Linked DNA regions of Drosophila melanogaster. The main gene of each other region encodes a partner of the protein of the gene in region 2 in a complex. Each region holds a gene or a part of one and is shown on either strand. Other genes may lie near its edges. A codon is read from its position in the direction of its gene.

Region 1 (7,259 bases), on a different chromosome or scaffold from region 2:
AAACTTGCTATACAAACGTATATATGGATATATGATATATATTTACAGTATAGAGGACAACGATCTAAATCTAATGTTCATGACAAAGCGATATATATATATACATACAAAACATATAGAGAGATGTATAAGATTTTGCATAGATATTGTGATTTCCCAAAAACAAAAAAGAAAAACTCAAAATAGTCAATAACAATGTGGAAACTGAGAAACCAAACGTAAACCAATTAACTAAACTAATATTTCCTCCTTTGTCGTATGAAATAAAAAACTAACTAAAGTGTTCATCAGTGGAATTTTCGAAATAATCGCTCGTCTTCGATGACAGAGCTTAGACTTCGATAGCGATAGAACCACAACAACAAGAACAACAACAACAACTGCACTGCCTGTGTCGGGTTCTATTTTACATTTACATCTACATTTACAGAATCATAAGAATTCACACACTCTAATAAGCGCCAGTCGGAGGAATTCAGAATTGAAAACTCAGAATGCCGAAAGCTAAACAACATCCCAAGCAAACATTTTGAAACTAATAAAGGTAATTTGCACAATACTGTGATTCCTAGCAAGAAACAATGAGACACGATGAACAATTAACGATAAACGCTATTAATTATCGACTTTTGTGTGTTTGTGTGGTTTGGAAATCGATGTGTTTGTATTGTACGTATATTTTTCACAGCATGCTGAAAAATGTTTGCAACAAGAACTATTTATCTAACCACTCAGTAATATCCAACTTGATCAATTTACTTGCATATGATTATTACGATTATTATTGCTAACCAAAGGCCCAAACAATAACTTAAATATAACGCAGAATGAAATCGAAAACAAATGATAAAACAACAAGAATACAAAGTACTTTTTTAAAATGAGTTTTTAGCGAATCAAATATAAACTTAAGATTTAAAAAAAAATTCGTATACAACAAACAAGCATAAATGATAGCAGCGTCTACAAAATCCACAACCAGATCAGAAAAAGCAGGAGAATAATCAAAACGAGAAAATGGAGAAAAGGTTATCCAGAAAAATGATCAGAAAACGTGTAAGCTGTAAAACCTATAATGAGAAATAAACTATAGAAACTATATGAAAAGAACAAGTCTTAGGCATTTCATTCCCCCCCACAGTAAGTATTTTAAATGATGTACGATTTTCTTAAAGATTTATGGTACACACTTTATTTGAAATGAATTCATCTTAAACATATGATTATGATATAAGTAAGCTACGCACAACTGATGCTCTAAACATTCGGTTTTTTCGATTTAGAAAGAACTTTGGCAACCAACTGCTATGGTATCTTAAACAATCACATACATATATTTAAATAACAGTTGCTCGTTGCGCCAATTCCCTGGGCTCTCCTCCTCCCCCTCCTTCTCCTCCTCCTCCAGCGGCTGTGTGGCCTTGTCAGCTTCTCGCTCCGCGTCGCCAGGACAAAAAGCACCTAGTCCATTACCTGGAAGTCAGGCTAAATGCCCCGCCTGACTGGTTTGGGTGCGAACAGCACCTTTGCCGGCTTGCAGAGCTCCAGTTCGCTGCCGGGACGCACGGCCAGGCACAGTTGGATCTCCACCAGCGACGACTCCGTCCAAACGCTGTGCGACAGCAGGATTGTGGTGCGCAGGCGCACATTGGTCTTGTGCTCGCCCTGCTCCGTCATAATGGGCTTGAAGTCACTCTGCTTCGGCACCACGGTGTGCATGTGCTGGTCCGGATACTTGATCTTGATCCGCATGTCCGCCTTCTGGGACTCCAGCAGATTGTCGATTTCCGCAACAAAAGGAACGGCTGCTATCAGGCCAGCCGTGACCTTAATTACATTATCCTGCGATTGCAGCGGACACGGCTCAAGGATGTTGGCCACACAGCGGCGTATTTTGTCATTGGCGGGTGGCAATGCAAGCGGAGGAGCCTGCTGGACCAGCGGCAGAATTTCGCGAAAGACGCGACCCGGCTTGGGATCCGATATGCCATCCAGTTTGATTAGCAGCTGGCGGGTGAAGCTATCCGGCTGGGCATCCCTACTGACCGACTCTTTCATGGGCATATCGGTCTCTACCACCGGTGGCTTCTCCTCCTCATCCTTCGTATTCGCCTTGATGAACTCACTTATATCGCCGGCGGTTTGCAAAAGCATCTGGCACGGGCCCAATGCACTCTGTGAGCGATCCCTGACCACGAGGACCAAGTGAAGCGCGCAAGCCCTCAGGCGCAGCTGCTTCACCTGCAAGATATCGCCGTAATTGAGGCCGGAGAAAGTGTGCTGCAGCTTGAGACAGTTTCGGATGAGTGCTGCCAGTGATTCCTTCAAGGGCACCCTGCTTCGTTGCGTGCTGGCGCAACGCTGCATCTGTTCGATCTGGATCTGGGCCGCCAAGAAGGTCTCTAGAAAGTTTGAGGTGCCGTACATGCCCGCATCAATGGATCCCAGGCGCTAAAGTTTATTAAAAAAAAAACATAGTAAACATTAGTGTTCATTTATATTGTAGTAAGCCCAGCGGGCATACAAACCTGCAGATTAGATTGGGCAGTCTGGAGCAGCTCCAAGCGCTCGTCAGTCATGGTGAAGATCTCTTCGATGTGACTGAGAATCATCTGCAGGTACTCCGCCGAACTGCCCGCTTGGTGCATAGCCGAATCGATCCTGTGCGTCGCACTCGCCGAGGACGCACCCTCAATGGGCAACTGGGGCACCAGATTCGGCATCGAGTCTCTCAGATAGGCGTAATGGCGATGGGTGGCCGTGGGCAGCAAACTGATAATGGGCACCAAATGTTCTGCAGCATTGAAGACAAGTATCAGAACGCACAGATACGCTGGATCCTCGACATCGCGTTCGGGCGTCTCGAAAAAGGGATGCACGTAAAGCAGGTGAACGGCGACAGCCATCACCAAATGTGGATGCTTCTGGCCAATCTTGCGCATGCAGGCATAGGTGGAGTTACGATCCTGTGGATACTTGGCCAGCACATCTAGCAGCTTCTGCACCACCATTAGCAGGCACGTTTGTGTGGACACTCTACAGGCGCCCAGCATGAGATGTAGTCCCTCACGCACGTCCACGGAGTAATCCTCAAGCGATCCAAGCATTATCTCCAGCTGATCCTCGCGCAGCACTATGTGCTTGGCAATGGCCGTTAAACTATAGATGGCCTTCAGCCGCACATCCTCGATCTCATCGTTGAACATGTCCACAAGGAAATCTAGGCTGGTCACCGCGAAATCCGGTCGAGAGAGGGCCAGCTTGCACATGGAGGCCACTGCCGCAGTACGCACCTCGAGGAACTCATCCTCTAGGCCATGTATAAGGGCGCCACAGGCGCCGCTGGCTATAATTGAGATGCTCTGAGCATCGAGGTGCTCTTGCGGCGCATCGTCCGCCCACCGTTTACCCGATGACCACTCACCGCTGGCCACCAGGCGAGCACCTCTCTCGTGCGCCGTTCGCTTCCGGCGCAGATTGCTCATCAGCTTTTTGTCGAGTGTCTGGTGTAGGAACTCCCTGCTTACGGCGGTCATCCCACCGAGCAATTCCGCTGCGAGCACGCGAATTTGCAGCGATAGATCGCACAGGGCTTCGCAGACCTTGCTGAACGCAGCGTCTATCATGCGCAGCTCCTCCTGCTGGCGGTCCGAGGGTAAAATGTAGTCCGGATGCCGATTGCCCAGCATGAAGACCAGCTGTAGAGCTTCCTTGCGCACACACTCGTAGTCATCCTTCATGGCCTCGACGGCACGCTTATAGAGCACCGCCGGCAGTTGGGATCCCCGTTCGCCGAGGGTCAGCAGGGCGTGCAGAGCCTGGGCACGAACGCTCGAGTCCTGCGAGTCGATGTAGAAGGCTAACTTCCATACGTAATGACGCTCACCCTCCATTTTGGTGGCAAAACGACCGATTACCAGCATGGCGTTCTTCTGCGTATGCGCCGAACCGGAGCGCAGCTGCTCCTTGGCTAGGTGGGCCACCTGGGTTTTGTACGATATGGGCAACATGTGCTTCCTGCGCTCCCCGATTCGAAACAGGCACATCATGCCCTGGGCGAGCACCTTTTGGGACACCTCCTTCCTCAACAAGAAGATAAAGTAGTCGATGATCATGGTAAGCGCCTGCTCGGTGGCACACTCGCAACCCAATCCGGACAGCAGCTCGAGCAGCTTCACCCGGATGGAGGTGTCGCTATCGCGTTCCTGCAGCTGATACAGTTGGAAGATCTTGCTGGCCACCTCCTTAAGCTCGCCCATTTCCACGTCCTCATAGGATATCTCATCGGTTATCTTGACCAAGAGCTCCAGCAGTTCCCTGCTATTCGCGGCCGTCATTGGGGGAGCTCCAGTCGCCGCAGCCGGCGGATTTCCGATGACACCTGTTGACGGGGCTCCCGTCGAAGCAACTGGTGTCCCAGTGGGCAGGACCAACGCACCGGCGGGCAGGTTGCCCACATAGGCGTCCAATTGGTTGAGCGCCGTCAGCTTGCGCTCCACATTGCCCACTTTTCCGGATTTCCCGCCCTTGGCATCAGCGGCCAGCGTTTGCAGACGCAGCTTCTTCACCGGCGGCGACCCGTCCACCGTTTCCACGTAGGTGCCTACGCGCTTCTTAATGGCCAGCGCCATGGTTTCCTTTTCCTTTGCGCGATTCAACCAATGCAGACTAGAGTTGCACTCTTCCACCTGGTTTAGGTAAACCGCAAATTAGAGATGGCACACCACTGATGCCAACCACCCGCCACTAGCGATGGCATCGTGACCGCGCAAGAGGTTCTTGCTGGTGGATAACCCATAACTAAATAAATTGCTTTCACAAGAGTGATAATGCTAATATCACCAGGCATTTAATAATTATATTATTTTAAAAAAATGTGTCATTTAGTAATCATATAAAGAAAACGAGGCATATTTTTTGGACATTTCACTTTGAAGGCGTGAAACATCGATAGTATAGTGAAAAATCGATGTTTTCTTTTCGTCTTTTGTTTTGCTCTCGCTCTTCTCCATGAAGTGATAACTTCTCAACAAAGTGATGATGATCCATCAACCACTATTTGGGTATTCATCCTCAATTCGGATTGATTCGCCCGTAAATCATTACTTATATTTAAATCCTTGTTTCTACTATGTCATCTCACATGGGCACAGTTATGATTTCTCCACGCTCAAAACGGACAAGGGGTCATCATCTACCTTGCCCTTCTTTTTGGCTGCGCAATTCTTAACGCATCTCATGGCTTTGAATAAGACTTTTTCCGAGGGTAGCGTCGGTTCCACCTGACCGATGGCGTCTGTAGTTGGGGATAATTATTGAATGGATCACTAAAAGTTGGATGTCGAGCACTAAACTTACTCATAAGCGAACGAAACAGATGTTCGTGATCTTTTAGTCTTTTCTTTTTCTGATTCCCATCAATATTGTAGTTCAGAAGGATGTCCTCGGAGAAAATGAGTCTTATGGTGCGGCTTAATCTTCCCTGGCGCAGGAATTTCCGCATGGAATTCGTCTGATCAGGGATCATATAAGTACAACTATATAATATTCTATTGATGGAAAAGCATGAGGAAGGAGAAACTTACATAGATCCCCCTGGAGTCCTGGCTTATCTTGTGATTCACTTCGACCAGATCCTCCTCATACATAATTGGAAAATCATCGTCCGGATTTCCCTTCGCCTTCGGCTTGGTCGTTTTCATCGACTGCTTAACGAATTCCGTAAGTGTCTTAACCGCCCTCGTCAAGTTTTCGATTTCTGCGCGCTGCGACAGGACTTGGGAATTGAGTTCTAAGTGGGTTAGGTAATGTAATATGATCCGGTGTTATAAGATATGTATGTCACAAACATACCATCTATCTTTGTTAGCAGCATGGCATTGGCTGCGATATGACTATTCTCGGTGGCGAGGCAAAGTCTCTTGATTTCAGGCATTGCTTCGTTAATTTTTAGCATTAAAGTGAATACATATGTATATTTAGTTTATGAATTGAGGAAAGTCCCTAATGGAAGCGATTCGCTTCGCTACACAGTTAAGCTCCAAATGGAATTCCTCGCTGTTTCATCATTGCCTTCGCTAGGCGACGAATGGGAAAGTAAGGGCACGGGCAAAAACTCCCTCTTGCTCATCACATATGAGTAACTGGTGAATCAGTGATGACGACGTCTGATTAGCGGCGGAACTGTACAGTAGTACAGAGAACATGGTGAAAGCCAGAATATCGCATGACAACCAATCGCATAAGCCACAGGATAAATAATACTAATTGTTTATAATAATCACAATGTTTTTAACGAATTTAGTTGGTGATGCGTCCTGTCAGTTGAGTAGGTGGGAATAGCATGGACTTTCCCCAAATAACAAATGCTAAGTTGGGTTTTTTTAAAATTGATTTAATACATTTTTTTTATGTTACAGTTAAATTTGAAACTATATTTAACAAGCAATTTGGATGTCATCGATATTTTGTAATAGGACCATTCACTTAGCGGAGTCATCAACCTTGGCGAATCTAGCGAGCACATCCACCTCTCGCTTATCAGGTCTATCGATAACATCGCTCATCAATCGATTCGTGAACCAGCTCTATCGCGAAACGGTCGCGTGTTCGCACGCAAATTGCAATATAAATCCACAGAAATTGACAGGGAACGTTGCTAAAGGGCGAAAAACAATCGTGCCGCGATTGAGGCCTGCGATCTGCACAGGAAATGCACAATTGCGAAGCGCAATTTGATAAATTCGGTAATGTTCGATTCTCGAAAGAACCAGTCGTGTGCGTCTGTATGTGCTTCAAATGTCACTCTGTGTGCGGGTGTGTGGGGAGTGCATAAAAGGCATAGAGGCAGCAAGGAGTGAAAGAGAGAGCTCCATCGGCAGCGCAACGAAAGTGAGCGAGAAGCAGAAATTGTTAGTGCTTATAAGGATATGTGAGAAGGGAGAGTGAGACAGTAAGAAAGAACGGAAGAAGCAGCAGCGACGCCGACCGACAACAACTGTAATTTTCCATTAATTTTTGGGCGGGTTTTGTGCTGCACAATAATACAACTGGCATAATATAACTTGGCTTATTTTTTATAACCAACATGTGTATTTTGTTCACGTTTTGCTGCGTGTGTAGGTGTGAGTATATGTATGTGTGATAAACTTGAAATACAACGCAATCGCAACGAGAACCAAAACTTGTCAAGGTAAAACGGCTAAAAAAAAAGAAGAAACGAATTGTGTGTGAAAAATTCCAACTGAATTACGCGAGAA
Region 2 (5,788 bases):
ATTCCTGTAAAGTGTTTTGTGAATGAGGAGGGCACTTACACCAAGGAAGCTCCTGATTTTCTACGCGGAAAATCAGTGTTGGATCAGGGAAATTCCCTAGTCCTCGACCGCATAGCAGAGGATGTAGTCCACTCCTCAAAGCTGGAACATTCCTATCCTATTGATTGGCGCACAAAAAAGCCTGTGATAATTCGTGCCAGTGAGCAGTGGTTCATTAATACCGAAAAGCTAAAGACGCCTGCTGCAGATGCCTTGGAACAAGTGGAGATCTATCCTAGAGCCAATGCTGAGGCCAGCAAGAAGGCATTGCTCACACAACTCCAGAAGAGACCATATTGGTGCATCTCCAGGCAGCGAGCGTGGGGCGTACCCATTCCTGTTCTCTACAGTCGGGAGTCCGGAAAAGTGGTACTTAATTCCGCTCTTATTGAACATCTTTGCAATCTGCTCCGCAAGGAGGGATCAATCGACTTCTGGTGGGTAAAATCCGTGGAGGAACTGGTACCCGAGCATTTACTTCGTGAACTTCACCATGAAGCCAAAGATCTTGTCAAGGGCACTGACATACTGGACATTTGGTTCGACTCTGGTAGCACATGGTCCGCTGTGCTGGGCAAGGATAAGATAGCCGATCTGTATCTTGAGGGTTATGACCAATTCACCGGTTGGTTTCAATCATCACTGCTTATGAGCATTGCTGCTCGGGAATGTGCACCGTACAAGTGAGTAGATACGTAATACCAAAGACTCTATTCTAGTGTAATACTTTTTAATGAAAAACCTATTCAATATTAATATCCAATAGGGCCCTCTTCGTTCACGGATTTACCGTGGATGAGAAAGGATACAAGATGTCGAAATCTTTGGGAAATGTAATTTCCCCAAAGCAGATAACCAAGAAATATGGTACGGATGCACTGCGTTGGTGGGTTGCCTCCCATGGAACGCAGCACATGTCCATTACAGTGAGCGATAAGCTACTGCAGCAAGCGGCAGAAAATCTATGCAAGATCCGCGGAACTATGCGATATTTAAAAGGCGTAATTGGAGAGAAACAATCGGGGGAGAAGCTTATACGAACTTCGGATAAGAGCTATCTTAATCGTTATTTGTTAAGCCAGCTGGTTGAATTTGAATCTGAGGTAGGAAATTTTGTTAATCTTAGTTTTTCAACTAATCATGTCAATCGCTTTTAAGGTGGAGAAGCTATACCAAGCTTATGAGTACAATCGTGTTGTCGCCTGTGTCCAAAACTTCATTGCAAATCAGGTGTCCGCCGTCTATGTGCATCTCATCAAGGATCGTCTTTATTGTGGTGATGATCACGAGCTACTGGCCATTCGTCAAACTCTTACCCACTGCTATCAACAACTCTGCAAGAGCTTATGGCCCATTGTTCCCTTCCTGGTGGAGGAAAGCTGGAGCTACTATGACACCACAGGTGGTGCATTCCACGAGCAAATTGTTCAGACTAATCCTGAATGGCAGGACACCAAAGCCACTGAAGTGATTAATGCAGCGTTCGATGTTAAACGACTTATTAACCAACAGGCTGGAGATGTTAACACCTGGCACTTGGCCGTGACCATCAAAGGAAAGGAAAGAAGCCAGCTGGATTTGCTGCGAGAACTTCACAGCCCTCTTGGAGAGTCTGTGAGCAATTCTGAATTATGCGAGATATTGCAAGTGGGGTCAGTTACGCTCTTACAGTCCCATAATAGCGACTTGGATATTGCTTTAAGTAAACTTCAGATATCACTGTGCCCACGTTGTCGTCGCTATGGTCTGGAGGATGAGCAGAAAACGTGTCAACGTTGCTCTGACGTTATGGAGGCAAAGAACTAAGCGTAATGATGTGTTGTTATTTAGGTGTAAGGAATACATTTATGTTTTTAAAAACTCTGTAAGCATTTCATGATGGTGTCTCGCAGCTTGAGCCGGGTTGTTGGCTTTCCGCCGCAGATAATATGCGTCTCGTTGTCCTCGAACTTAATGACTGTGTCCTCATTGACAAGGTTCAGAGTCAGAGCGCCGCCAGTGCGGTCTAGCTTGATGTTGGAGAAGCCATCCTGTGCCAGCTTCTTCATCACTGCATCTACATCAATGCTGCCATACTCGTATTTGACGTTCTTCAGCACATCCTCCTTTGTCGGAGCGCTGTTGCTCGAGATGGTCTCGTCTTTAACGCTATCCGCACATGGCTGGATGCAGTGGACCTTGTCCTTAACTTGCAAAACTCCTGTCAATGTGGAGAAGGTCACGCCGGCCGCCACCTCCTTTGGCGATATCTTTTGGGCCAGTTCCGAGGTAATGTAAATTCGATCCAGCTTCCGTTTTAATGGCAGACGTATGATCTCGCCGCACTTGAACGTTATTATCTTCTTATCCGGCTGTTCAATGAACAAATTTGGGGCCGAGGGATGTGGTTTTGTGTATGCCTCTGGGATGACAAGCACATTTGGTTTCAACTCCTTGATCAGCTTATTTGCCTGCTGATAATTCAAAGAGGTGTCGATGGGACAGTAAAAAGCCTTCATGGCCAGTGGTTGGAAGGGCGCCAGTACTTGCAGATACGGAAAGTCCGGCTCCGTGAATATGATGGAGTTGTTAGGGTTATTGCCCCACATCTCGATAAAGTGAACAGCGTCGCCGAAACGCAAGCTAGGATGGCCACAAAAGACCACGCAGGGCTGTAAGGAAGACAGAGAATTTGTAGTATGAAGTTTTCACAATTATGTTAGACAAACCTGCCGGAAGTCCTTGCTAAAGCCCTCGGAGAACACATGGTTATAGTGCTTCAGCTTGTTGTTGCGAAGGTAAAAGGCATGTGGGAAAGGATCGTCTGGAAGATACACTTTGTTCTGCTTGGCGGAACTAAGCCACTCGGCCAGGATATTAGAATACGCCAAGGAGCTGTCTGCCACAGGGGAAATAAAGAACATGGGAACATTGTTTAGGCCAGCGTTTTCCAAATTCTGGGTGAGGCACTCAAAGAGGTCATAGACAACGCCCGAAGGATAACAGGGAATCAAGGCAGACCCATTGTTGCGGATCGTCAAGGCCACATTCATGCAGAGCTCGCCCAGCTTCGTGTCCGGATTTACCGTCGGCGCCTGCGTCAGTCCGGTCATAATGAGTACATCGGCGTGCTTCAGCGCCGACTGATTGATGGGCCGCGGATGTGTGGTCAACGTGGAGGAACCACTGACATAGCAAATCTTTTCATGCGCCGTGCTCAGTACCCAGTTGCTCGAGCCCAGGCAGTAGCCCGAGCTGACAGGAGTGGCGATAAAAGCTCCGAGGATGTCCAGCTTCTCGTCGTAGCCCATGATGGTCACCTTGGACAGACTGCCTTGGACATCCTTAAGACTAAAGATAGTGCGCCACTTCTTGGCGCGAAAGGCTTCGCTCAAGGGACTGGGCAGCAGATGAAGCTTCTCCTTCCACAAGCGCGCGGTGCACGCCTTGGGCGACACTTCGATATAGTCCACCAGCTCCTCCAGGAAAAATCGGCCGATCTGCAGCGTTGGCTCCGTGGCATAGACTTTGCCCTTGAACCCCGTGTTTTCCGTGATATACGGCAAGGCCAGCATATTAAGATAATTCGAGATAAGTATCACATCCACTTCGCTGAAATCCAGCATTTTGTCCATGGGTAGATTAAACTCGGGCGTCGAGTCCACGAAAACCCGGCCACAGCAGTCCTTCAACTCGCCATCCATTTGGGGATCATGATCCCGACTGGGCACGAAGTTGGGCAGATTGGACCACTTCAGTGACTGAACGAAGGGCAGCGGAAGGAAATTCAGGACTGTCTGCTCCGTGAGACCGCAGTCCAGCATAATCCGCAGGCCCTTGAAGGTAATGATATAACATGGCTTGGCCAGGTCCCCGCTGAGACAATACTGCAAAGTGGATAGTCACTTCCGCTAATTAAGTTGTTATTTACTTCTCAGGATGACTTACCAATCGCATTTTATTAAACCGACAGTGCCGATTAGACGATGCAAGTTTGTTTATATTTGGACCAGGGATGGGGAACGATTTGGTTCACTTATGAACCGGAATCAGCACCCGGCTAAATCATTAACCATAGGTACCAAAATTAGTTAATTACAAATTTTGGTAAATGTTTTACTACTTGTTAAACTGTAGTCATCACGCTTTAACATTTGTGCAACCACATTTTTTTCACTCCACTTGTTGCAGTGCTGTTGGTTTCCATCCCTGGTCTCTTTATTTGGTTTTTCGCAAATTTGAATAATGTCCCAGCAAATTCGCGTGGTACAATGCATTCAATGCAAAATGTACCAGGTGAGTGCAAACAAACTGAAATATATCTTAGAACTCAATAACTACTTATATATATATACCTAATTTAAACAAGGTGGACTTCGTGAAAAAGGCAAGCACATGGCAGTGTAAAATTTGCCGCCAAAAGCAAAGTTTGCTCAAGGAATTCTTTCGAGGATCGGCAGCGGAATGCCGGGTTAAGGTGCAGCATCTCAACTTAGAGCGCGGAATGCAGGAGGAATGTCTGAACACGGGCTTATTCCTCACGGCAAAGCAACAGCTCGAAGAGGAGAAAGACTGCCAAGAAAAAGAGGAAAACACCACACCTCAGAAGAAAACAAATAAATGGGCAAACTATGTGGATAATACCATTGAAACTACTCAAAAGCCTGCAGCAAAACCTACGAAAACCGATGAACTTTCCGACGAAATCTCTATGAACTTTAAGAAAACCAGGAACACAGGGCCACGATCCTCTAAACGTTCCGCTGAAAATATGCCAACAGTTACTAAGAAAATTTGCTCTAAGTGGAACGACTTCTTGTAATTCCTTAAAAATTATATATCATATATATAAATATATATTTGAATTAATTTCAATTAGAACTTATTTATAAAGCGAAGAATATTATCAGTGCTAGATTATCTCCAATTAAGATTTCCAGTTACGTGAATGAATTAAGCTTATCTTTATTAAAAAAATAATTTAATTATAATTGTTCAATACGTTTTATTAAAATCCGCTTCGTTCTAGTATTTGTGTATATGAGTGTGAGGGCCATAATGTTCACATTCAAACTGAATACATTGCCTTGCCTTGCACTAATGCTAGAAAAATACAAGTTTTATGATCCACTAAATATTGTTAGTTAAAGTTGGGGTAATTTGGGATTCACTAATCGCCGATTGGGCAACATGTTGGACATGCTTAGCTCCTTGTGCCCCAATCGGTTTGAATACTCGTGTATAGATTAGAGTTGGTTATAGTTAAGTGACGCCTGGTCGCGCTTTTATCTTGAGAGAAATTGTAATATTAGTAGCCGACTACGTGTATATAACCTATTCTCGCCGCTTAGGTGCTGGCAGGAGTGCCTCCGACACCCTCCTTCTTGGCCACCTTCTCATCGGAGCCGGTCTCATCGATGTCATTGGACTCGGTCTCCGTGCCGGGTGCACCACCTGCCTTGCCCGATGACCTACGTCGCTTGCGGTTGACACGCCATGGACGCATTGGAAACTTCATCGCCGGCAATGGCTCCATGCCAAGCACTTTGTAAATCTGTCGAAAGGCAATGTAGCGCAGGAAGAGCTGTGCGGACACAGTGAGATCCTCGCGCTCCTGTTTGGTCAACTCGAGTAGAGCGTCTGTGGGGTCCTTCTCGCAAGGATCCAGCAGGCCCGGTCCGTTGATTAGAAAGCCTGACGATAAGGCCTCCATGATGCGACGCATGCAGTCACCGGGCGAAATGGGAAAGCCAGCCGACGAGATGACCTT

What was found. The genes of interacting proteins can lie anywhere in the genome.
Region 1: the proteins of IntS9 (region 2) and IntS4 are in contact, whole or in part, in a cryo-EM structure (PDB 7SN8), measured with the Drosophila melanogaster proteins. Residues at the interface, in NP_648838.3 of Drosophila melanogaster: Arg2 (codon at 3,972), Arg23 (codon at 3,848), Met88 (codon at 3,653), Lys90 (codon at 3,647), Met91 (codon at 3,644), Asp93 (codon at 3,638), Glu96 (codon at 3,629), Asp98 (codon at 3,623), Arg173 (codon at 3,398), Lys176 (codon at 3,389), Asp203 (codon at 3,308), Leu205 (codon at 3,302), Gly206 (codon at 3,299), Gly500 (codon at 2,360), Glu501 (codon at 2,357), Ile502 (codon at 2,354), Arg504 (codon at 2,348), Val544 (codon at 2,228), Lys545 (codon at 2,225), Asp546 (codon at 2,222); in NP_572488.1 of Drosophila melanogaster: Arg105 (codon at 4,319), Leu108 (codon at 4,310), Val112 (codon at 4,298), Thr115 (codon at 4,289), Asp116 (codon at 4,286), Asp147 (codon at 4,193), Thr148 (codon at 4,190), Ser149 (codon at 4,187), Lys153 (codon at 4,175), Glu156 (codon at 4,166), Gln193 (codon at 4,055), Met196 (codon at 4,046), Arg200 (codon at 4,034), His231 (codon at 3,941), Lys234 (codon at 3,932), Gln264 (codon at 3,842), Asp265 (codon at 3,839), Ser266 (codon at 3,836), Arg269 (codon at 3,827), Tyr302 (codon at 3,728).

The regions. Positions count from the first base shown.
Region 1 is NC_004354.4:8,554,068-8,561,326, forward strand, and holds IntS4 (integrator 4), read right to left. Parts: upstream 4,715-7,259; 5' UTR 4,632-4,714; coding exon 2,529-4,631; intron 2,452-2,528; coding exon 1,486-2,451; 3' UTR 1,172-1,485; downstream 1-1,171. Other genes in the region: CG12112 (uncharacterized protein), read right to left, coding at 5,154-5,296, 5,359-5,512, 5,586-5,791, 5,854-5,956. UniProt on the Drosophila melanogaster protein: Component of the integrator complex, a multiprotein complex that terminates RNA polymerase II (Pol II) transcription in the promoter-proximal region of genes.
Region 2 is NT_037436.4:16,101,589-16,107,376, forward strand, and holds IntS9 (integrator 9), read right to left. Parts: upstream 4,040-5,788; 5' UTR 3,976-4,039; coding exon 3,967-3,975; intron 3,906-3,966; coding exon 2,748-3,905; intron 2,691-2,747; coding exon 1,893-2,690; 3' UTR 1,846-1,892; downstream 1-1,845. Other genes in the region: IleRS-m (Isoleucyl-tRNA synthetase, mitochondrial), read left to right, coding at 1-722, 806-1,142, 1,198-1,845; CG43295 (uncharacterized protein), read left to right, coding at 4,264-4,314, 4,388-4,840; Zn72D (Zinc-finger protein at 72D), read right to left, coding at 5,366-5,788. UniProt on the Drosophila melanogaster protein: Component of the integrator complex, a multiprotein complex that terminates RNA polymerase II (Pol II) transcription in the promoter-proximal region of genes.